6 linked regions of the Mus musculus genome follow. Each later gene encodes a partner of the first gene's protein in a complex. Links are inferred from orthologs where the notes say so. Each region holds a gene or a part of one and is shown in the gene's direction. Other genes may lie near its edges.

Region 1 (3,500 bases):
CCTTGGCCTTTTGTCTCCCAGGTGCTGAGATTGTAGGAGTGTACCACCATACCCACCTTTTCCTTGTTTTCCTGTTACTATTGACATATATTTCTACAGTGTTAACTTTGATAGCTATTTTTAGTTTCTGGTTACAGATTTAAATTAAGTATGACATGTTTTAAAGTAAAGCAAAATACAATTTCGTACCTTTTAACAACATAAGAGCAATTTACTAATTTAGTGATTTGCTATGTTCTAATTGGAAAGATTTTGCGTAACTACCTTAAAGGATATTTTCTGTCAGTGATTCAACCCCAAATATAAAAAGAGCTTTAAGCCTTCCATGGTTGTTCATACTTATAATTCCAGTGCTCAGAGGGCTAAGACAGGAAGGAGGCTTGCTAAAGAGTGAGGCCCTGCTCCAAAAAAACAAAATTAAGTAATTATTTTATGTTTACTTAATCAGAGTCATCTTACAACAGCAAAGTTTTAAAGAACAATGGTCATATCACAGGAAAGATAATATATGATAAGCACATACATGGGCACTTCTCTTTTCTAAATTGTGGAAGGCACTGGGCCAAGATTGTTGCATGGTACATGTCATATAATAGGAACTCAGTAAATATTTGTAAGCACTTTTTCCTCACAAAATTCAGATTTGATTTCTTTTTTTGTTTTTCACTTTTTTTATTAGATATTTTACTTATTTATTTACATTTTAAATGTTATCCCCTTTCCCGGTTTCCCCTCTAGAAATCCCCATCCCATCCTCCTTCCCCCTGCTTCTATGAGGGTGTTCCCCCACCCACCCACTCCTGCCTCCCTGCCCTCACATTCCCCTACACTGGGGCATTGAACCTCCACAGGTCCAAGGGCCTCTCCTCCCATTGATGTCTAAAAGGCCATCCTCTGCTATAAAAGCGGCTGGAGCCATGGGTCCCTCCATGTGTACTCTTTGGTTGGTGGTTTCGTCCCTGGGAGCTCTGGGGCATCTGGTTAGTTGATATGTAGCTCTGGCTGTCTAGGGACTCTAGCTGGTCTCAAACTCTCCACCTGCCTCTGCTTCCCCAGTGCTGGGATTAAAGGTGTGTGACATTACACCTTGTGTCAGAGTCCTTCTTAGTTTAGAATTCTAGGCAGCCTCTGTAATTTAGATGGGGGTTGACATGCAAGGTATAGCTGTATTGCCATATTGTCATACATGAAAAAGAAGGGAAAACCCTGGTCAAGAATCTGCTTTGCGCTAGTGAGATGGGTCAGCAGTAAAGAAGCCTGTGCCTAAACTGGACAACCTGAGTTCCACACAGGACTCTCACATGGTGGAAGGAGAGAGGAGCATGAATGCATCACTCCCTACCAACACACACACACACACACACACACACACACAAATAGAGAGAAACAGTCTGCTGTAGCTTTTAATTGCCTTCTTTTTGTCTAGTTTCCTTATAAAGTCTGAGTGTTTAGTTAGTGCTGACTTGTCAGAAACTTTAAAAAGCTGCTAAGAACTTTGTCTTAGATGGGCTTAGTGGCACAGACTTAAGATTCCACCGCTGGGAAGGCAGAGGCAGGAAGATTACTACAAATTCAAGGCCAATCTGGGTTACTTAATGTAGTGAGACTTTCCTAGTCTGATTATCCAAGAAGAGAATACTTATGTTCACTTAAAAGAAGTACATAAGTAGTAGTAGATGGTTTTCTGTATTAGTTGCAAATTCAAGTGCTTTCAAAATATTTGGTGTATTTAGTATGCCTAACCAAGAAAAAAAATATGTTTAAACACAGCAAAGTAGCTGGACATAGTTGGGTATATCTGTAATCTTATCACTTGGGTATTTAGAAGTTCAAAGTCACTATCAGCAACATAGTAAGTTTAAGGCCACTCTTCGTGTGTGTGTGAGAGTGTGTGTGTGTGTGTGTGTGTGTGAGAGAGAGAGAGAGAGAGAGAGAGAGAGAGAGAGAGAGAGAGAGAGAGAGCGAGCGAGCGCTCTCATACATGTGTGTTGAGGGACATACACATGTGCCCAGCTGCCACCCTTGTCTGGGTGTTTGAGGAACCTGGAAAATCCCCCTGCAACTAGAAAGTACCAGAGGCAGTTATAAACTATGGGAAATAGAAGAATTGAACTTAGGTCCCAGCAAATTCTCTTAATCACCAGAAGCCATCTTTTCAGCCTCCTGAAGAATCTCTTTCCCAGTAAAGTAGCTTTTGCCCTTTTTTTGAAGACGGTGTCTCTAGGCTAGCCCCAGACTCATGATCATAATTCTCCTGCTCTAGGCGGGCCCTGATTGCTAGGTTCTGTGTAGATGTACAGCAACACATTGCCTTTAGCATTTGTGGCTTGATTTTCGTTTTGGGAGGTTTGTTTGTTTGTTTGGCTATAGTCAATCAGTTTTTAAGGCACTTAGTGCAGATTAAAAGTAAATTGTGTTGTTTAATCATCCTAGCCTGGGTTGCTGTATCACATTGACATTTTGTGCTGAGTCTTTATGGTGTGTCAGTGAGGGCAAGAAGTTCCCCTTCTTAGCAATGTAGACTTGTCTGGCTTCTGTGGCTGGATGCTAAGTAGCCCTCAACATCTCTCACTTCTGACAAATACATCTCCAGATACTAACACATGTCTCCTCTGGGACAACGTTATACATTGAGAATGTTGGTCACAAAAAGCCAGTGAAATCTTTTCTAAGGATTCCTTCCCCTGGCAGGCAGTCTCACATTCTGTCTCAGACGTAGTGGGCCCTGGGTTGTGACTGTGGTTGTCCTTTCTTTCAGGTCAGCTTTTCTGGCAGCACACATCCCACTCTTTTTGTACCCCTTTTTGCACACAGTCAGCAAAACTCGTCCCTTTGAATATCTTCGGCTCACCAGCCTTGGAGTTATTGGTAAGTTTTTTTGTTGTTGTTGTTTTTCTTAAGAAATGGTCTTATGTAGCCCAGGTTGGCCTCAGGCTTACTATGTAGCTGAGGATACTCCTGAAGTTTTTTCAGTTTTTTTATTCTTTACTTTCTGCCTCCAAAGTGCTGGGGTTACAAGCATACTTCCTCATACTTGATATGGTTTTTAATGTGGAGCTGAGGGTTGAACCCAGGGTTTTATGCGTTCTAGGCAAGCACACTACCAACTGAATGGCATTGATGTCCTAGGTAAGTTATCAGGGACATTAGTAAGCCTGAAATTCTTACTGATAATAGTGGTCTAAGTTGTGTGTTTGGTTCACTTATAGCTTGTTCATTTTTTGTCTTTGACATCGTCTGTTTACTAGTAAGTGATTACAAAGTTACATCCCTTTTTTGTTTGGTTGGTTGGGTTTCTTTGTTTGTTTGTTTGTTTGTTTGTTTTGAGACAAGGTTTCTCTGTGTAGCTCTGGCTGTCCTGGAACTCACTTTGTTGACCAGGCTGACCTCGAACTCAGAAATCCACCTGCCTCTGGCTCCTAAGTGCTGGGATTAAAGGCATGAGTCACCACTGCCCAGGGCAAGCACCATTCTTAATACTGTTAATAAAGCTGTAAGAA
Region 2 (3,500 bases), on another chromosome or scaffold:
AATTAATTCTAGACTGCACACTGTTAAGAAGTTGTTGCTTCTTTGTTTGAAAGCTTATTTTGGACATGTTCTCCTACACAAGAGATTCTTCATAATCTTTCTCAAATATATGATTTTTTGTGCTGTTGTTATAGTTTTGGTTTTGTAGTCATATCAGTCTTGATTATGTTCTTTATATACTCACTTGAGCTCCTGCTCAAATTTTTCAAAAAGGTGAACATACAGAAAAAAACCACAGAACTAAATATGATAAAATAGCTTTAGGAATGCTGCTTACAAAGCAGAGTACACTAATCAGAATAGAATCATCAGGTGAATCTGAAAAACAAGGCAAACTTAACACTTTACATATTACCAAAGATTGCTAGCTAAAATTAATAACTGGAAAGTAACTATAAACCAATGCATGCTAGTAAAAGAAAAATTCCAGTACAGTAGAGGAATTTTAAAATTTCCTGTATGGCTCTCTCTGCAACAGAAAGTAGAAGCCACATGGAACATATTTTGTGTATGGTAGTTGGAGAAGATGTGACTGTCTTAAGTTAGTGTTGGTAGAATGTAAATATTTTTATTTATTTATTTATTTAAAAACTGAGTTTCACTATGTGGCATTGGCTAGCCTGGAACTGGCTGTGTAGACCAGGCTAGCTTTGAACTTAGATCTACTTGTTTCTGCCTCCCAAGAACTAGATTAAAGACATGTGCCACTACACATGTCTTTATTTTTATTTATGTGTATGTCATGTATATGTGGGTGTCCATGGAGACCAGAGGAGAGTGTCAGGTCCTATGGAGCTAGAGTTACAGTTGGTTGTGTCATTGCCTGTTATGCATGCTGGGAACCAAAGTCTGTCCATTTGAAATTGCAGCAAGTGCTCTTTACTTATAATCCCTGTTTATTTTATCTCCAGTACCATTTCATACTCTGCCATATTCTCATTCATTTTCTCTCTCTCTCTCTCTCTCTCTCTCTCTCTCTCTCTCTCTCTCTCTCTCTCTCTGTCATTTATCTGGTTTTGTTTGTTTGTTTGTTTAGAAAGCTATTTGCTGTTTTTGGGATTTCCTCCCACTTTTACCTGAAATGCTCTTAACTTCAGTCTTCACAATGATGGCTTTTTCAGCTTAAGGACCACCTCTTTACGGGAACAGGGTGAAAACTGCTTTTTTTTTAAAGAACTCTGGGTTTGAAATAGGCCACGTGACCAGACACATTACACTTTATGTATTCTGAGCACATCTGAGACATTCAGAATTGGAATAAGAAGCTGATAGGAAGAATATTATTTTAGCTAGCATGGTATATTACAGCATTGCAAGCTTTATAGTTAATAATTTTTGAAGGGTTGTATGTGGTTTAATTTTCAGCTCTAGAAATGATTATAAAGTGGTAGGTAGATTGTTATGAAAGCAAAACATGTCTTTGAAAGTCTAGTGAAAATTAGTATGTTAAGCCATGTCTGTTAGAGCATGTTCTAATCTCATTTCTAAGGATCAAAGGCAGGAAGAGAGAGTTAGCTGCAAGTTCAAGTTCAGGGGCTCTGGCTTACCCCAAAGAACTATTTTGGTTCTCTAGATATTTTAAAAAGTTAATAAAATTGGGTAACTGATGTTAAATAGTATCTTACTTTTGGCCTCTAACACTCTAAGACCATGATCAAAAGCAACTTGGAGGAAAGGTTTAATTCATCTTAAACTTTAGAAGTAATACTTACTTGATCATTAAGGGAAGTCAGGGCAGGAAACTGGAGGCAGGAACTGAAGCAGAGGCCATGGAGGAATGCTGCTTACTGGTGTTTTCCATCTATGCTTACCAAGTCTACTTGGTTGTACCAGCACCACCTGCCCAGGAGTGAACTGTGCCTTCTCATATTAACTTGCCTAGAGGCCGTCTGATAGAGGCTTTTTTTTTTTCCTCAGATAAGTCTTGCTTGTGTCAAGCTGACAGAACAACCAGTACAGGCAACTTGACCAAGTTCACAGTTATTAAATGTTAGCATTAGATGAATTTGTATTATATTCTACAATTCTACTATAACTTGCCATCATCACAGAGATCCATTTTTTTTTTTACAATATAATTTATTTCTCTGAACACTTATACCTAATTAGTCTTTCTGTAAAAACTAGTCAAGGATGTGATCATTTTTAGCTGGGAAAAAGATCATATTCCTGTATTTTCTTGACTGTTACCTTGATATGGTATTTAAAAATTGGCAAGTAGACTTTATTCTTTCTCTTTTAAACTGTTCATTTAAGATTGTATGTACCTTTAAATGTCAGGAAAATCTGAACAGTAGCTTAAGTACATGAGTTTTGTACACACAAGAAGCAGTTTAGAGAGAACTGGCTCAGCTGCTTCCTCATTCTCAGAAGATTGGCTTGTACCCTTCTGCTTAGTTCACATTTAGTATTAGTCCTTTAGATAGTAAATTTCCCCTACTAGGAAGCTAGTAGGGGAAAAGACATAAAAGGATGAAGAGGATATATATTTTACCTTTGTTAGATGGGCCTTCATAAATTGTTTATAGAAACCATATTTCTTATTTCTCACTGGCCAGAATTATATAATGTGAGCATCTGTAGCTATAGATGTGACTATAGATTATCAATAGTGTTTATACTCATGCCCCCTCTACTTTCAATGTGTTAGCCTGACAGTATAACTACCCAAGTTATCTGAATATATGTGCCTTTTAGATTTACATTGGTGCAGAAGCATACAGTGGAATTCAACCAGGTAGCAATGGCAAATTCAGATGGATCCGAAGCAATGCTAAACAGAGTAATGACGAAAGATAACATTGGCGTTGCTGTGGTGTTAGAGGTCCACAAGGAGCTTTTTGGAACAGGTGAGTGCCATCTACATAGATTTCCTAAGGGAAGACAATCTTATTATTACAAGATTATTTCTTTATCTTGAGAACTATTAAGGAGATGGAAAAGAAAATAGCATTAATTATGTAAAGTATTACACATTTCTTGTGAATTCTTGATTTATTCTATAGTTTTTGTCAGCATTTTTACTTAACAGGTAATTTCTGCCCCTTTAACACACCATTCATTGAGAAAATTCTTTGAAATAGGGTATGGCTTGGTTAGGCTGAATTAGAAGTTATACTTAGCCCTCTCTTGTAGTTTGAGCTTCACACGTGTGTACCCTTTATTTTTTAAGGTTAAATAGTTGGCATGCTTTCTTTAATTTCTTTGTTACATCTCAAGTCTTTGTCAGGGTGAGAACAATATCTTTTATCTATGTGATACTTTTCAGAGTTTTTAGATTATTTATAGCTTCCCAGAGAGTCTGAAATTCATTGTATACTTGGCATTATCAAGGTCTTTCATTGACCTCTCTTCTGCCTGCCTTGGAACACTATTATGTTTTAATGTCTCAAGCAGAACAAGCTGATAAGACCACATGGGTGCACTTCTCTTCCTGTGCTACTTTGTCTGGAGTACTAGTTTAAATTATTCAGATGACACATAGTATCAGATTTCCTTTT
Region 3 (4,229 bases), on another chromosome or scaffold:
AATTTCAAAGTCTTATGAGGAGTACCTGGTGTGATGGTGCAGCCTTTAATCCAACACTCGGGAGGCAGAAACAGGCAGATCTCTAAGGTAAGCTACACAGAAAATAGAAAAATGTAAACCAAATAAATAGCTCCATGTGATTTATTTATTTACATACTTAACTATGCTCCCATCAAAGCACCATTTGGGTCACTTTACAATTCAGTGCTGTTGTCATTTATATATGAAGTTCCTCTCCCTCAAAAGCCTGCATATAGGAGGCCCGGCCCCCAGTCCTTGAGAGTGATAATAGGATTCCAACAGTTTGGAGCTATCCTTGGATTCATCCACTTGCAGATTCGTAATTTGGTGCATCATTAGGAAGTAATGGAAATTAAGGAGGTGCGGCCCAGTGGGGCTAAGTATCTCAGTTGCATGTGCCCTTGGAGACTATTTCTTCTCCCAGCTTCCTCTGCTTCTAGCACCAGGAAGGCAACAACTTTACTCTGTCACTTGTGCCCTGGCACAATGCACTGCTTCACTAATGGTCCAAAAACAATGGAACCAAGTGACCTGGGACTGAAAACTCTGATACACGAGGCAAAAAATCCATCCTTCCTCATTTAAATTCTCCTCTAGGGTATTTATCACAGAAGCAAAAAGTCTAACACAAATGCTTTTAATGTCTGTTTCTCTCCGTGAAATGAACCTCTGTTATTATAAATGCTGTTTGTTCTCTAGAAGGGAAAGGAAGAATGGAGTAGGTGCTTCTGGAACCCAAGGCTATGGTCATTGAGCAAAACCAGAACCAGTTCAGGGTTAAAGCCTTTGCCACAAAGACTGCCAGATAGGGATACATAGTGAGATTCTGTCTCAAAAAATTAAACAAACAAACAAACAAAAATTTGTCACGATATGGGCTAGAGATGAGATAGTTGGGAGCTGGGTAGTTGAAGAGTGGGTATTGTTTTTGCAGAGGATTTGAACTTGAATCTAAATCATTGTGCTTAGTAATCGTGATGCATCAAGCTTTTGTCTTAGACCGACCTACCATAGTAAGTTAATGGTTGCATGACTCGCAATCAGAGAAACCGCATGCATAATGCAGTCTGAATGGCTTTTTCAACTTGGCTACAAATAACAAAACAGCTCTGAAACTTTGAAAAAAAAAAAAGCCTTTTTTCTGGGGGAGGTGGCCTCCTCTAACAACACTTCTCTCATCCTCATTGTTATGGAAAAACAGCCCCTATGAGACTCAGAGCTTAGCACATAAACCTCAGGTGTGGTGCCTGCCATTTTGCTGAAATGCGGAACAAAAAGTCCTTCCCCTTCTGTGTTTCACTCAGGACCTACACTAGTGTACTTCCGGGTTTGCAGAAGGACGCGCTTCCGGGGCCGAGGCCAGCCCTAATTCCCACGCCCAGCTGGCCCCGCCCCGGAAGTAGCGTCTCCCTTGGCCGCTACGGGACGGAAGCTGTGGATGGCGGGGAAAACAGCCCTGCACCGGCGGATGTGTTGGCGCTGTTGCTAGACGACGAGCAGTAACTTCGTCACTTCCTCAGCCCGTGGCCCGCCCAGGACCTTAGCCGAGGCGACTGGAGCGGGCTTGAGCTGAAGAGTTGTCCCCCGCCGGTAGGACTCACCACCAGCCCGGCGGCGGGAGTCGGGGCCACGCCACCTACAGGGAGGAACTCGAGCCGAGGCGGGAAGATGGCTGCAGACAAGCCTGCAGGTGAGGCGCCCGCGCCGCGACCCAGGGGCTGACACACTGCGCGCGGGGACGGCAGGGCCCGCGTGGGGGACCCGAGGGCCACTTGACTTCGCTTGGGTACTTGTGCCCTTCACTCTTCTCAGCTGTCTCTACTGTGAGTCCAGTGGATTTTCTGCTGTGACACATCTTGATTCTACTGCACCCCATCTTGATTGCACTGCATTTGCCTTGCTCTCCAAGTTAATTCTGGCGCAGGAAGCTTGAATTTGTCACGCCGCTGTCCAGACGCTTTAAGGGAAAGTCTATCCGAGCACGCACGGTTGCCGTAAGGCCCCCCCAGGCTCAGCCACTGAAAAAGTTCCCTCTGGTCAGCGTGTCCAGTGGAGTCATTCTGAAAACTGTCTAAAGAGGCGTGACGTTTCACTGTGTCTCCTGCCTGCTCTCACTTACCTTGTTCCTCATCTGATTTTTCCCGAGCTCCTCGAGATTCCTTTTTAAAAGTCTTAATTATGTGTGTGAGTGCAGGTGCCTGCCGAGACTAGAAGAGGACATTGCGTCTACTGGAGCTGGAGTTACACAGTTGTGGGCCACCACTTGTGGGTGCTGGGAACCCAGTCTTGGTCCTCGGCAAGAGCAGCGAGTGCTGTTAACCGCTGAGCCATCACCTTTCCAGCCCCAAGATTAAGTTCTTTTTTTTTTTAAGTTATTTATTTATTTATTCATTATATGTATGTACACTGTAGCTGTTTTTCAGACACCCCAGAAGAGGGCATCAGATCTCATTAAGGATGGTTGTGAGCCACCATGTGGTTGCTGGGATTTTGAACTCAGGACCTACGGAAGTGTAGTCAGTGCTCTTAACCGCTGAGTTATCTCTCCAGTCCCAAGATAAAGTTCTTAATTTCTGTGGTTTTCTGTGGTACTCCATCAGGAATTTTTCCCATTAGGGAATTATGAGAGCCCATTTATTACCTGGAAAGTCTGCTATATTTCTTTGAAGAAAGTAATGTTTAGAGAGTGGGGCGGAATTGATTGGTTGATTGATTGATTGATTGATTGAGGCAGGGTCTCACTATGTATGTAGCCTTGGCTGTCCTGGAGCTCGCTATATAGACCAGGCTATTCTCAAACTCACTAGACATAAAGCCTCCTGAGTGCTAAATTAAAGTTGTGTGCCATTATACCCACTGCCATAGAATTTTAGCTAGGTGATCAGAGAAAATCTATTGTGAGGTGATTCCTTTTTTAAAGTTATTTTTAACTTTGGGTGTATGCACGTGAGGACAAATGCCTGAAGATGCTGTCCGAGGAGTTGGGTCACGCAGAGCTGGAGTTACAGGTAGTTGTGGGTGCTGGGAATCAAACTCAGGCCCTCTGAAGAGCAGTGTGTGCTTTTAATCACTGAGCACCAAGGTGATTTGCATGTCTTGGCTTTCAAGGATCAAATCCAATCATCAGGGCGCAAGTATCTTTACCCACCGAGCCCCTGCTGATCCAGCTCCTGCTGGGATAGTATTGAGCACAGATCTGAATAAAGTGAAGGGGTGATCCTGTTGGTGTGGGATGCAAGAAGGGTGCCAATTGCCTGCCCGGGTCTAGACGGGACCGGGACTGTCCTTGTTAATCAAAACAGTGCTGCTTCTGGAATCATTTCCCGGGAAGCGTCTCACCAGATCCAGGACTGCCCGGCTTGAGTTGCACCTCAGTCACGTGGCGTTCCTTCACTGCTTGCTTCCTTCCTTCACAAAGACACTGTGCAGGCATCCTTCAGATGATGAAGTGAGTGTAAGACAGCCTGCCTCTGAGGACCTGCACTCTGGACCTCTGCTGGGTTAAGTGGCATGGTTCTGGCTGTTGGGTCCTCGTAGTTGCTCTCTTACACTTTTCTTTTTGTTTTGTTTTGTTTTCTTTTCTTTTTTTTTTTTTTAGGTTTTTTTTCGAGACAAGATTTCTCTGTGTTGCCCCTGTCTGTCCTTGAACTCCCTCTGTAGACCAGGTTGGCCTCAAAAGCAGGAAATCCACCTGCCTCTGCCTCTGCCTCTACCTCAGAAGGCTGGCATCAAAGCGTGTGCTGACCCAGCTGCCAGCACCACTACCACCCGAGTAGTACTTTATCAGCACTTTACTCAGTGGGTAAAGGTGTTTTCTTTCAAGCCTGACACCTGAGTCCATCCCCAGGACTCATGCAGAGAAAACTGCCTTCTCCAGGTTGTCTCTGACACACGCACACGCAAGTAAACAGCACCAGCCAGTGTTTCTTATGGTAGTGGTGAAAGAGGCAGAAGAGACATGTTAAACTTATTTGGAAAGTGCCAGCCCAGGGTCCAGGAAGTGAAGGGGAGACACAGTGTATTCCATCCCTGCTCTTGATCCACCATGGGCTCTGAGAAGCCGTGGCAATCACTTCCTGTGGGAGTTTTTTTAAGGGGCCTCACCATGGCCCCCTCTGGAAAAACAGCCTCTGGAAGCAGTTTTTGAAAGTAGCACACGGGGAGAGGATTTGTCTGTGTTGCTTCCTCCTGCTTTCTTCTTCCGGTTG
Region 4 (3,944 bases), on another chromosome or scaffold:
CTCCATTGCCTTAACTTTTCCAGCGTCTCATGGCACTAGAAGCTTAGACTGACACTGCTATCCTGGCAAATAGCAGGCAATGATGATCTCAAGGCAATGCTGGGGCCAGGCAAACACAAACTGCCTTGAACAGAACATCTGGTTCTTGGAAAGGCTTTTGTCCCTCGCTGCTTTGCTCGCCTAGTTCTCTTCTGCCTTAGGCAACAGCCATGCAAGTCCCACATCCTGGAACGAAAGATGGGCTTCCTTGAGAGGCATTTTTTTTTTTCTTGTTAGTTCCTGGAAGCCATTTCACGCTCAGTTCTGGGCTGATCTGCCACGGAGGTCGGGGTAGCTATTTTCCTTCACACAATTCCTGTCAGTCTATATCGCCAGTGTATTTGAAGCCTGTTGGGCGTTACTCTTGCCCGTACACCATGACGCTGACTCGACAAGGTGGAGCTTGATTAATCCCTGTGTCCTGAATACCAGCCAAGTACTTTTTCCTGATGTAAGTATCATTAATCAGCCCATTCCTTTTCCGGTTTACCTGAAACCACATGTCCTGAGTAGACTATGTTAGCCCTCGAATGCAGCTATAGTTCGTTACTTAAATTAGGACCCCATAATTTAAAAAACAAACAAACCCTGCCTATTAATTATTTTTTTCCTGCATAGTTAGGGCAGGAACAATTAGTTGACTATTGAAGAGTGTAAGTTTTCTTTCTCGGAAGATCAAGACACTGGATAGGGTTAAACGTCTGAGAATTTAATCTGTGCTCCCAAGTGATTGACAGGCCAAGGAAAAAGCAAAATGAATCAAGAGGAGGAAAAAAAAATCAAGGGTAAAGTGGAGATAAAAGTGGACGAGAAAGAAAAAGAGCAACTAAACCGCGGAGAAACAGCTTTAGGAGAGGAGGAGACAGAAGGCGCGGAGAAGGAAAGGCGCAGAGAGAGCGGGAAGAGAGGCTGGGAGGGCGGGCAGGAGCGCGCCGGGCCGGCTCACTGCTCCGAGACCGGGGGGAACGCGGACGGGGCTAAAGCGTCGGGCTGCCAAGAGTCCACCCCCGCACGACGCGGGATAGTCGCGCCCAGCAGCGTCAGCCAATGAGAAGCCGGGATGTTGGAGAGGCGGCGGTGAGCGGGGCGTTCGCTGGCTGGGGTGGGAGGGGGACGGCGGCCGCCGCCATGATGCTTGTTTGCTTTCAATGAAAACGAGGGGGGCGCGGAAGAGGAGGCGTCGGCGTCGGTGGCGGCGGCGTCGACGGCGCGGAGGCGAAGGCGGCGGCCGGCGCGGCGAGGAGGGCGAGGCCGGGGTCCGAGAGGGCGGCAGAGCGTAGCGGCGGCTCGTGGGGTCCGGGGCGGCCGAGGCGGGCGGCTGAGGAGCGGCGGCCGAGGAGGGGGAACAAAGAGCGGCGGCGGAGGCGCTGCAGCAGCGGGCGGGACTGGTATGGTGGTTCCACAGGGCAGACCCCGCTGCACTCATCGGGAGGAGGCGGCGGCAGCGGCGGAGGAAGGCGGCGCAGCTCGAGAGGTGAGCGCGACGGGCCCGAGCGACGTCCCGCCGAGGCTCTGCTGCCTGCGCTCCCCCATCCCCCCCCAGGGGTCGCGCCCCGGCGGGGACCCCGAGCGCGCACTCGCGCACAACTTAGGAGTTCTCGGAGTGACGTCTGTCCGTCCCCCTCCTTCACACACAGCGATCGCCATCCCGTCGGTCCCCTGGCCGCGCCCCCCGCGCGGAGTCCCGGGGCTCGGCCTGGGTTGGGGGTGGGGGGTGGGAGTGTTGATTGACGGCAGTGCGGTGGCGTACAGAGGGCGGTGGCGTGAACCCTGGCTTCTCGGACCCCCGCCTCCGGCCGGTCACGCACCTCAAGAGAGGAGCTGGGGTGCCGGGACTAGGGACAAACCGGTGGCAACTTTGGAGAAGTGGCTGTGCTGGGGGGGGGGGGGTGTGCACTGTGCGGCGTGGAACTTGGCACTCCGTGGATTGACTTAATGCTCACCCTTTTTCTCCTAAAGTATTTTAAAGTCCGTTTAACGCAGATATTGGTAGGGGCGGGGCGGATTACGTGGCCAAAGAAGTGATTATCAGCTGAAGAGATTATTGGACTCAGGACTCAAGTACTAATTTCTGGAAGAAAATTTCCCTAGTTTAACCTAGTTTCAAAGACAGTGGTTATTTACTTTGGTGACCCCCCCTTCCCCCCCCCCCCCCCCCCCGCCTTGACTCTTTCTACCCTGACAACGGTCTTCAGAGACTGCTCATAAGCAACTGTAATTCTTTACTTTTAACTGTTTCTGCAAGTGACAACATTGTGCACAGGCCATCTTGTTACTGTGTTTAAATAATCTGCTAGAATTTGAGTACAGGTAAACCTGTTTTACAGGTAGATTGCCTGATTGACTACTAGGTCTAAATTCTTCTCTGCCTCTGCTTGGAATTTTAACTTTGGAGAATAAATGAAAAAACAATTCGGTGTGTAATAGCACTGTCTTTCCCACACTAGAAATTTTCACCATCCCGCAACCGTTCTGTAGGCTGGTCAAAAGATTGTGAAGGCGTATTTTGCTTTTTGTAATTGCTGCCAGTCTTTTGAAGTTGGCGCTTTGAAGAATACATTTTAGAATTAAAATTACGTGGAGCCAGTGGTCTAGTCAAATTCTCTGACCTGGCTCTGAGGAACCAAGCCTAGAATGAAGAGACTGGATCAGGATGTTAGAGTTAGGAGGGTAGTCATAAAGCAGACGTTAAGGGTGATATAGTTGTTAAGTATTTGGGGTTTGGAGAAGGAAGCGGGTATTTTTATCAGGTAGATATTAAAGTAGGTCAGGTAGCCATTTCACAGGTGCACAGGTGCTTGCTAACGTGGACAAAAATGTATGTGGCAGACATTTTCTAGTGTGACTGGAATATTCTTGAAAGAGAATCCTTGTATAAGTTGAGATGTATTATGGTTGCTGGGAAATTTCAGGCTTTTTTTTTTTTTTTGAACAGACATAGACGCTGATATACAGAACTTGGTCCTGACTACAAATAAAGGCATTATAGGAATTTGCCTACTATGCATGTAGTTTTAACTAGTATTTTGGTTAATGTTTAAACATTTGACTGAACCCATGTTAACTTTACAAAAAAAAAAAAAAAAAAAAAAAAAAGACATCTTAAAATACAGTCCCTGTTAGCCTGAATCTTTCTTTGTAGAATGGGCTGGCCTTGAACTCAGAGATCCTCCTGTTTGTGCCTCTGGAGTGCTGAGGTTAAAGGTGTCCAGCACCATGCTTAAGTTTTCATTCAATACAGCCTAGAAAGACAGTATAAGTAAGACATACTGGAAGAAATGCTTGGAGTATCCTTTGGTCCTTGTGTGGTGAGGGGTCAATATTTCCAGCACACATGCAGCCCTCTCCTCTGACAAGGTCCACTGGCTAGGAAGCTCAAGCTTGCTTGTCTTATCACTGTGGAGAAGAAAGATCTGTTAATTTTTTTAAAAAAAGATTTATTTGTTACATGTAAGTACACTGTAGTTGTCTTCAGACACACCAGAAGAAGGTGATCAGATCCCATTACAGATGGTTGTGAGCCACCATGTGGTTGCTGGGATTTGAACTCGGGACCTTTGGAAGAGCGGTCAGTGCTCTTAACTGCTGATCCATCTCTCCAGCCCGAGCTCTGTTAATTTTTAAAACTTTTTAGCTTCTACAAAATAAATAGTTTTTCTTAATTGTACCTGTTATTTAGGCTATGGAGGTAGCTATGTTACCAGAAAGTTAAGTGCTGACCAAACACAAGTATAACTGTATACCGTGTACGTTTGAGGACAGTGGAATGCAGTAGAGTTTGGTGTTTGAGTAAGTAGTTTAAAGATTAGAAAAGAGTGATTATTTGAGTCTAAGATGGAGGCTGATTCAGGCTGCCTTAATTTTACTCTTTGGCCTTTACTTTTTTGTTGTCTGTTTATATATTT
Region 5 (4,202 bases), about 35 Mb from region 1:
AGAATTGATATAACCCATTCCAGACGTTCAGCCTCAGGAAGGGAGAGGAAGTGGGTTCTACAGTGAAAATGAACTCAGTTTGTGGTAATGGCAGAGAAACCCTAGAAACAAGCCCAGTGGAAACAGGGAAGACGCTCTTGGTATTAATCTTAGTGGAAATCAGCTCTATTGGCGGGTAACGTGCTGTGCTCAAATACCTTAAAACATCTCGAAACACCCATACTGTACTAACATTTAAGTTATCAACTAACAATAAGTTATGACAATAACTAGCATGAGTGGGTTTTAGTATGATTAGTTGTCATAGAGCATCCAATGTAAAAAGGCTCAAAGAGAACATAGTTGACTAATTAGTAGTAGTAGTAGTAGTAGTAGTAGTAGTAGTAGTAGTAGTAGTAGAAGAGGTAATTTGAATCATTTGCCCCGTTTGGCAAGCTATATTTTCTGCTGATTGCAATGTTCATTGGCAGAACCCCTCCACAGGTTTAACAGTAAACTAAAGAGGCCTTTAAAATATGCGCCATACCCATCACCTGTTCCTGAAGATTTCCTTGAGAACTTCAGCGGTAAATAGAAAACTTTCAGCTGCCGAAGAGTTTTAGCACAGGGTAGCTAGCAGGTGACGCTGATGACAGTCGCTCGGTTTCTGTAACTCTAGAGTGGATACTAGTCACCACCGGAGCATAGGGGTGGGGAGCGGGCAGCGGTGCCTTTGAAACAGATCACAGGGGACCAGGTCCAGGAGGCTGGTATGTAAAGAAATTTCCAGGGTTTTCCAGTGTTCAGCCAAGGCGTCCAGAAAAAGTGCCCTAGGGCAGGCTAAGGAAAAAGAAGCACTGCAAACGATTTTGTAAACGAATATTTCTCGAGACAGTTTTCTCAGATTTTTTTTTTTCTTTCTTTTTAGACCAGGCTGGCCTCGAACTCACAGGGGTTCGTCTGCCTCTGCCTCCCTGGTGCCGGCCTCGCCTAGATTTTTGTTCACATAACCAAACGTTTATGTGCGGTACGACCCCATCTCTGAGAATACGAGCAAGGCTCGAAATTTAAACTGTTTCTGAGAATCCTGTTTTCATTGGTATTTACAAGAAATGAGCCGTCAAGGATGCTCTATCAGACCAGTTAGCATCTAAGACCTAGTTTCCAAATTATAACTTAGGCAATATTGACTGGGCAGGTTTGGCGCCACCCTGTCACCCAAGGATCGCTTCTGAGGGCTTTAAGGGCAATTAACGGCGGTCTCTACATCACTCAGGCAGGGAAGGACCACTCGGACAGCTCAGAGACCACGCGGCCCCGCCCTCCACGGCGCCCCGCCCCCTTCCGGACACGGCGCCCCGCCCACTCGCGTCTCCGGAACCTCCGCTCGGCCAGCGTCGTCGGTCTGTCGGCCCTGTGTCTCCGTTCCGCTCGTCTGACTTAGGCACTGTTTTTGTTTGCGACGCTGTCGCGGAAGGGTGCGCTTTACGGCCGCGGGAGGACGCAGCGAGTCGGCGCCTTGGGCCTCTCGGCCGGGAAGCGGGGTAGGCGGGCGAGGTTGATGCCCGGCGGCGGGGCGAGCACGGCGTCTGGCCGGCTTCTCTCCTCAGCGGATCCCAGAGGGGCGCGGGAGGCAGCGGCGTTCCGGAGCGGCCCGGCGGGCTCGAGCGGAGGCCGAGGCGGAGCAGGCGGCCCTGGGCCAGGGATTGGAGGCCCCGCGGGCAGGATGAGCCTGACCCCGAAGGAGCTCTCGAGCCTGCTGAGCATCATCTCGGAGGAGGCGGGCGGCGGCAGCACCTTCGAGGGCCTGTCCACCGCCTTCCACCACTACTTCAGCAAGGCCGACCACTTCCGCCTGGGCTCGGTGCTGGTGATGCTGCTGCAGCAGCCGGACCTGCTGCCTAGCGCGGCGCAGCGCCTCACGGCGCTCTACCTGCTCTGGGAGATGTACCGCACCGAGCCGCTCGCCGCCAACCCGTTCGCGGCCAGCTTCGCGCACCTGCTCAACCCGGCGCCGCCCGCCCGCGGCGGCCAGGAGCCCGACCGGCCCCCGCTCTCAGGTACGTCCCGCAGCCAGCCGTGCGGGCGCAGCCAGCTGTTCTGGGGTGGGGGTGGGAGGGGGGTCGTCAGCTAGGGACATTCAGCCTCCTTGGAGGGGATCGACCCTCCCTCCTTTTCCATACTTTCTTTCCCTAAAATAGGGGAGAGATAGAAGTTGCAAGTTTTGTTTTTTTGGTTTTTTTTTTTTTTCAAATTCACTACACTCCAGATGATCCCTCCCAATCGAAAAAGCCAACACATCGTACAAGCCCACAAACGGGCTGGACATATTTTAGTATGCCAGATACGGTTCATTCTTGATTGTAAGGTCCTGAGGTATGCGAAGTTACAGCCAATGGCACTGAGTTTACCCCCTTTTTAAGCCTCCGAGTAAAGAAGTCGGTATTAAGAACCTGAGGTTGAAGTCCACATCACCACAATATCTAAAGTCTTTGCAGCCAACTCCTTGGTTAGCTGTAATGTCGCGTGAGGAGAGGATGAAGTCGTTTCTAATTAACCATTCAAAGATGCATGTGTCCTGGGCAGTATTGTGGAATGTTTGCTTTTGCAGCATTGCTAAGATCAGGCATAGATTACACCTGAGGATGCGCCCCTAAATTTGGTGCTGTGGATGGAACCCAGGGTCACTTCCTCTATACCATGAGCCTCGTCCAGGACTCTGGGACAGCTGTACCACTCACAGGCTGACATACATGTACATATGTACATATATATAGATATAGAGATAGAGATAGAGATATAGATATACACACACATATACATATATATATAATTTTTAAAGTATGTTTAAATTTGTAGGAATCTAAGTATTTGATAACAAAAAGTTCTCAACAGCTATTAAAACCTTACGTTTCATTGACATTTCCATAGATCACAGAATCTCAAGCGATATATTTGTTTATGGATTACTATGTGTACTAAGTGTGAATATTCAATCAGCTGGAACTCAGTTACATTTAGATCATAAGAATAGCTCCACGTGGCAAGTAGCAAAGTTTCCAGTTAACTTTTAAAGTTAAATTTTAAAACTTTACCAGTACCCATTGGCGAGAAACCGGCATGCATTCTTATTTGCAGGGTTCCTGCCTCCTATAACTCCACCAGAAAAGTTTTTCCTCTCCCAGCTCATGCTGGCACCCCCAAGGGAACTGTTCAAAAAGACACCTCGCCAGATTGCCTTGATGGACGTTGGAAACATGGGACAGTCTGTGGACATTAGCGGCCTTCAGTTAGCCCTGGCAGGTGAGGGAGGGCCAGTGATTGGGACATTCTTGTCGGTTCTTGAGATCCCCTGCTTAAAATCAACAAGTTTTTTCTTTTAAATTTACATTTCTGCTGTTTTTGTTTGATCCTCTCCCATCCTGCCCTGCCCTGTCCTTTCCCTGTCTCCCTGTCTGCCACCCCCTCTTTTGTTTGTTTGTTTTGAGACCAGGTTTCTTTGTGTAGCCTTGGCTGTCCTGGAAGAGCTGGGTAGAGCATGCTGGCCTCTAACTGAGCTCTTACTGGCTGACTCTGAGTACTCAGGCACGCAGCCCCAGGCCAGGCCCGCTCCAGTCCCCATCCCAGATCACACCCTTGTACCCCAGCACCTCCTCCACTCTCTTTTCTGTTTCCTTATTCTGTGCTTCTGATTGACACCCAGCCTGGTCTCTGCCCCGCACCTCCCTCCCTGCCATCCACCTCACTCCATGTTCTCTTTTGGAGTTATTTTAATATTATTATTGTTTGGTTTATAGGGATTAAAGATATTTACTTTGAACTCCTGATCTGTTCACGATGTTCTCAATTTTAAAATGTTCTGTGCCACCCTGCCCCTCCCCCTGCCCCCCAGGCTGGCCTTGGGTTCTTGACTCTCGTCTCCGCCTTCCAGGTGCTGGCATTACAAGGTCTAGCTTAAATGCTTTGAATGCTTCTTGTCTGAATCTGTTCCAGAGCGTCAGTCTGAGCTGCCAACCCAGAGCAAAGCCAGCTTCCCAAGCATCCTCAGTGACCCAGACCCGGACTCGTCCAACTCTGGATTTGACAGCTCAGTTGCCTCTCGGATCACAGAGTCTTTAGTCAGTGGCCCAAAGCCACCTATTGAAAGTAGGTATATGGGGCTTAGTTCATGTTCTCAGGGTTGTACTCTAGCAGCACTCGGGAATTCTACGTTTCTTACAGTA
Region 6 (3,500 bases), on another chromosome or scaffold:
GAAGACAGAGTAACCCAGGCAGGCATTATAGGTGTTATCCTGTATCCTGTGCCACCACAGAGAGCCTCAGACTTGTAGCTAATCTCATCAGCAGCCTGCATACTCCTGGGCTGTTCTTTCTAGCTAGCCCATAGATCACTGAGAAATACCAAGGATCCATCTACAAGGCATTTGGGTTAGTCCCCAAGCCACATCTTTATCCAGCCCATTGATCTTGTCATTATTCGGAACTAAGTTTACCTTGTTGCTTGCTTTTTAACTATCACTGTTTCCCATGCCTCTCTTGTGGCTGTGACTTCTATATCATTTGATTCTATTGCGACTTCTCATTCTCTAGCTCTCTGTCTTCCTCGGTGTTCTTGTCTCCTCCTCTTTGATGAGCTCACATCCTTCTCACCATTAAATTTTATGATGAATCATAATTGCTCACTTAGGCAAGCTTGACTGTCTGCCCTTCTCACTTCTCATCTTAAAAGTCTGTACCCATTGTTGTATCTGTTTGTTTGATTCTTGACCATCTTCTGGTTGGACTACAGAAAAGTGTAATTTCACTGTCTGGTCCTGCTGCACACTGATGCTCAAGAACTTAAACTTGAGTCCAAAATTTTGCAGGCATACTTCTTTTGTTTTGTTTTTTTTGTTTGTTTGCTTTTTTTTTTGTTTGTTTTTTGTTTTTGGTTTGGTTTGGTTTGGTTTGGTTTTTTTGTTTGTTTGTTTTTTTCGAGACAGGGTTTCTCTGTATAGCCCTGGCTATCCTGGAACTCACTTTGTAGACCAGGCTGGCCTCGAACTCAGAAATCCTCCTTCCTCTGCCTCCCCAGTGCTGGGATTCAAGGCGTGCGCCGCCACCGCCCTGAGCAGCCATATTTCTACCTGATGACATAATCCTTTCAGAACCTTTTGTTTGCTTTTGGATGTGTTTGGGTTGGTTGGTTGGTTGGTTGGTTTGCTGCTGTTATCCTATGTGACTGTTTTGAATTTCATCAAGCCAGGAATAGCATTTCCTCCTGTCCGTAGCTCTCATAATGACCTGGCTTCTATTTCTACTTTACAAAGACAGGTGTAAGCAGATAGAAGAGGACATTAACCTGGTCCTGCCTCCAAATCTAATGACCTGCCACCAATCTAAATCTGACATGACCTTGCCAAAATCTTTGGTCCATGCTTCCTACTAAAACTTCATCAAAACTCATGAGTGGGAGTCTTAATTTTTTCTCCTTTTCCTGGTGCTGGCATCCAAACCAGTGTTGGACACAGTAAGCAAGTGCTGTGCCCCCGAGCTACACCCTCAGCCCGCTTCCCCCCAGGACTTTGGAAATGGTCTTGGCTGGTGTAGTGTAGTCCAAGGTGGCTCCTTAAAGCACTCCTGCTTCTGTGTGAGTGATGATGTTATAGCCACATACATGCCATGATTTCCTTCCAACTTACAGCATTTCTCTTTTCACATTTCTAGTGCCAAATACAGAGAAACTTATTTTTCTATTTGTATTGAAATTACATTATCTTGATCAACCTCTTTTGAGTTATCCTCATTCTTAATTCTTTTTTTTTTTTTGGAAGCAAACCGTCTCAAATGAGTCATCCTCATTTTTCTAACCTGTCTTCTTTCACTCTACTGAATCCACTGTTGCGAGGAATCCGTTCCTGTGATTCCAGTAAGCGCTCTGCAGCATCCCCACTTTCTCTTGGTGCTCCTTCCTCACTTGACTTTGAAGATACCATTCTTACCTGGTAACGTTGGCTCATCCCTCAGTTTCCCTTGCTCATATCACCTTTGGATTGTCTTCTTGATGATCTTATCTAGACTTGTGCTTTTAAGGACCACATAGATTGAAAATTCCAAACACCTACTTCCATGGCAGACTTTTTTTCTTGAACTTGAGATTTTAGATGCCGTTATTAGCTAAATATCTCTTTTAAGATTTGGGTTAAACCTACACCATGGCTATGCTTTTTTGATCTCCATTAATACTTCCAGAAACGACATCATCCTTAGTCTCTCCTTTTCTCTCAGATGCAGTCCTTTCAAGTAGATACAGAATCCAATCATAGTCTCATTAAGTTGCTACCACCCTGGTTTGTTGCCTGAATATTCTGCCAGCATATCACAGCAGGGATTCTTGGTTTGCTCTTTTTGTATGGTTTTGTGTAGCACTCAAGATAATTCTTTCTGTGCTCAGCCCCAAGTACAGATTTGTTGCTCTGATTTAAACCTCCCTGAGTGGCAGCCCTGCAACGCTCACATCATCCTGCCTTTCTTCTGACTCCACCTTGGAAGTGTTTCCCTGCCTTCCTCTGCCTCTCATGTCACGCTGTCTCTGCCTCAGTTGTTCTAATATTCCCCTTGGCTAGTACAGTGTTCTACTAGCTATTGACCTGTGATTATCGCTCTTATATCCTTGAATATTTGTTTACATCTAAGCTTGTCAAATCGGACTTAAACTGATCACCCTATTTAATTATATAACCAGTATTATTCATTTGTTATGCTAATTATCTGCCAGTGTCCAGTTAGCCATACACTTTTACAGAAAGTAAGTTTTCCAATATCAGCAGTCTTCGTTTTTATCACTTAACTTATTCAGAACATAGAATAGGCACTCACAATACGTGTTCAGTGATACGAAATCTGGCTCCTCCTCATTTCGGCTTTGAGTGAGGTGGACATGGAAAGTACTATAATTGGAGAGTAGTGTAGAAATGAACTTAGAGCATTGTTAGTTACCGCTAATTTAAAGTAGACAATTTCCATTTTGTACCTAAGTATATTCTGACTTGCTGTGCTTTACACTCTGTTGGTGAGCACTAGAGGAAGCGAAGCGCTCTTGGGTTACTTTTCTGCTATAAAGTTGCAGTAAATTCAAGAAAGGGAACCAAGAAGGATGCTTATTTTTTTATTTGAATTCTTTTTTTCCCATTTTCCTGAAATTAAGTTAGAAATACAGTTTTCTACTTTGTTCTTTAAAGTGGCTTCTTTTTTACTTGTTCAGAAATCTCTATCCCAAATTTGCATCACCCTGGGCTTCTTCACCTTGTCGGCCTCAAGACATAGGTAGGAGAATCTATTTGTGCTCAAAATTGTTTAAAAGGTATTTCCTAAGTATCAGTTAGTAACACCTTTGTTTGTTTTATTATGCAGACTTCCATGTTCCATCAGAATATTTAACAAACATTCACATTAGGGATAAGGTGAGTGAGTAGACCTTTCTATTCTCAGGCGTCGATTTTAGCTATTATCTTGGTACCACTTCCAGTTCAGACGGCATGCTAATCCACTAGCAGTCTTAGGCGTATGTGTCTGTATACCATTCACATAACAATTTTATTTCTGTTTTTATTAATATTTTTATTAATATGCTGTAGGTCTTTTTTAAATCAATGTTAGGAATGATAAAATATTTCTTGTAATTAATAATTGTAACCATAGTGAATGGAAATACATTAACTTGGAAAATTTGGTGATTCTCTTCCTGACATTCTTATTTTATGCCCTTACTTAT

The links.
Region 2: Cnot9 (region 1) and Cnot6l share a complex: the UniProt entries of both Homo sapiens proteins name them as parts of the CCR4-NOT complex. The link is inferred for Mus musculus from reciprocal best matches to the Homo sapiens genes CNOT9 and CNOT6L.
Region 3: Cnot9 (region 1) and Cnot10 share a complex: the UniProt entries of both Homo sapiens proteins name them as parts of the CCR4-NOT complex. The link is inferred for Mus musculus from reciprocal best matches to the Homo sapiens genes CNOT9 and CNOT10.
Region 4: Cnot9 (region 1) and Cnot6 share a complex: the UniProt entries of both Homo sapiens proteins name them as parts of the CCR4-NOT complex. The link is inferred for Mus musculus from reciprocal best matches to the Homo sapiens genes CNOT9 and CNOT6.
Region 5: Cnot9 (region 1) and Cnot11 share a complex: the UniProt entries of both Homo sapiens proteins name them as parts of the CCR4-NOT complex. The link is inferred for Mus musculus from reciprocal best matches to the Homo sapiens genes CNOT9 and CNOT11.
Region 6: Cnot9 (region 1) and Cnot2 share a complex: the UniProt entries of both Homo sapiens proteins name them as parts of the CCR4-NOT complex. The link is inferred for Mus musculus from reciprocal best matches to the Homo sapiens genes CNOT9 and CNOT2.

Annotation. Positions count from the first base shown.
Region 1 is NC_000067.6:74,519,560-74,523,059, forward strand, and holds part of Cnot9 (CCR4-NOT transcription complex subunit 9), read left to right. Parts: intron 1-2,758; coding exon 2,759-2,868; intron 2,869-3,500. UniProt on the Homo sapiens protein: Component of the CCR4-NOT complex which is one of the major cellular mRNA deadenylases and is linked to various cellular processes including bulk mRNA degradation, miRNA-mediated repression, translational repression during translational initiation and general transcription regulation.
Region 2 is NC_000071.6:96,085,491-96,088,990, reverse strand, and holds part of Cnot6l (CCR4-NOT transcription complex subunit 6-like), read left to right. Parts: intron 1-2,697; coding exon 2,698-2,849; intron 2,850-3,500. UniProt on the Homo sapiens protein: Has 3'-5' poly(A) exoribonuclease activity for synthetic poly(A) RNA substrate.
Region 3 is NC_000075.6:114,637,401-114,641,629, reverse strand, and holds the start of Cnot10 (CCR4-NOT transcription complex subunit 10), read left to right. Parts: upstream 1-1,429; 5' UTR 1,430-1,689; coding exon 1,690-1,711; intron 1,712-3,620; exon of another isoform or gene 3,621-4,229. UniProt on the Homo sapiens protein: Component of the CCR4-NOT complex which is one of the major cellular mRNA deadenylases and is linked to various cellular processes including bulk mRNA degradation, miRNA-mediated repression, translational repression during translational initiation and general transcription regulation.
Region 4 is NC_000077.6:49,709,923-49,713,866, reverse strand, and holds the start of Cnot6 (CCR4-NOT transcription complex subunit 6), read left to right. Parts: upstream 1-1,144; 5' UTR 1,145-1,513; intron 1,514-3,944. UniProt on the Homo sapiens protein: Poly(A) nuclease with 3'-5' RNase activity.
Region 5 is NC_000067.6:39,534,299-39,538,500, forward strand, and holds the start of Cnot11 (CCR4-NOT transcription complex subunit 11), read left to right. Parts: upstream 1-1,402; 5' UTR 1,403-1,540; coding exon 1,541-2,039; intron 2,040-3,117; coding exon 3,118-3,282; intron 3,283-3,972; coding exon 3,973-4,125; intron 4,126-4,202. UniProt on the Homo sapiens protein: Component of the CCR4-NOT complex which is one of the major cellular mRNA deadenylases and is linked to various cellular processes including bulk mRNA degradation, miRNA-mediated repression, translational repression during translational initiation and general transcription regulation.
Region 6 is NC_000076.6:116,494,512-116,498,011, reverse strand, and holds part of Cnot2 (CCR4-NOT transcription complex subunit 2), read left to right. Parts: intron 1-2,990; coding exon 2,991-3,052; intron 3,053-3,139; coding exon 3,140-3,189; intron 3,190-3,500. UniProt on the Homo sapiens protein: Component of the CCR4-NOT complex which is one of the major cellular mRNA deadenylases and is linked to various cellular processes including bulk mRNA degradation, miRNA-mediated repression, translational repression during translational initiation and general transcription regulation.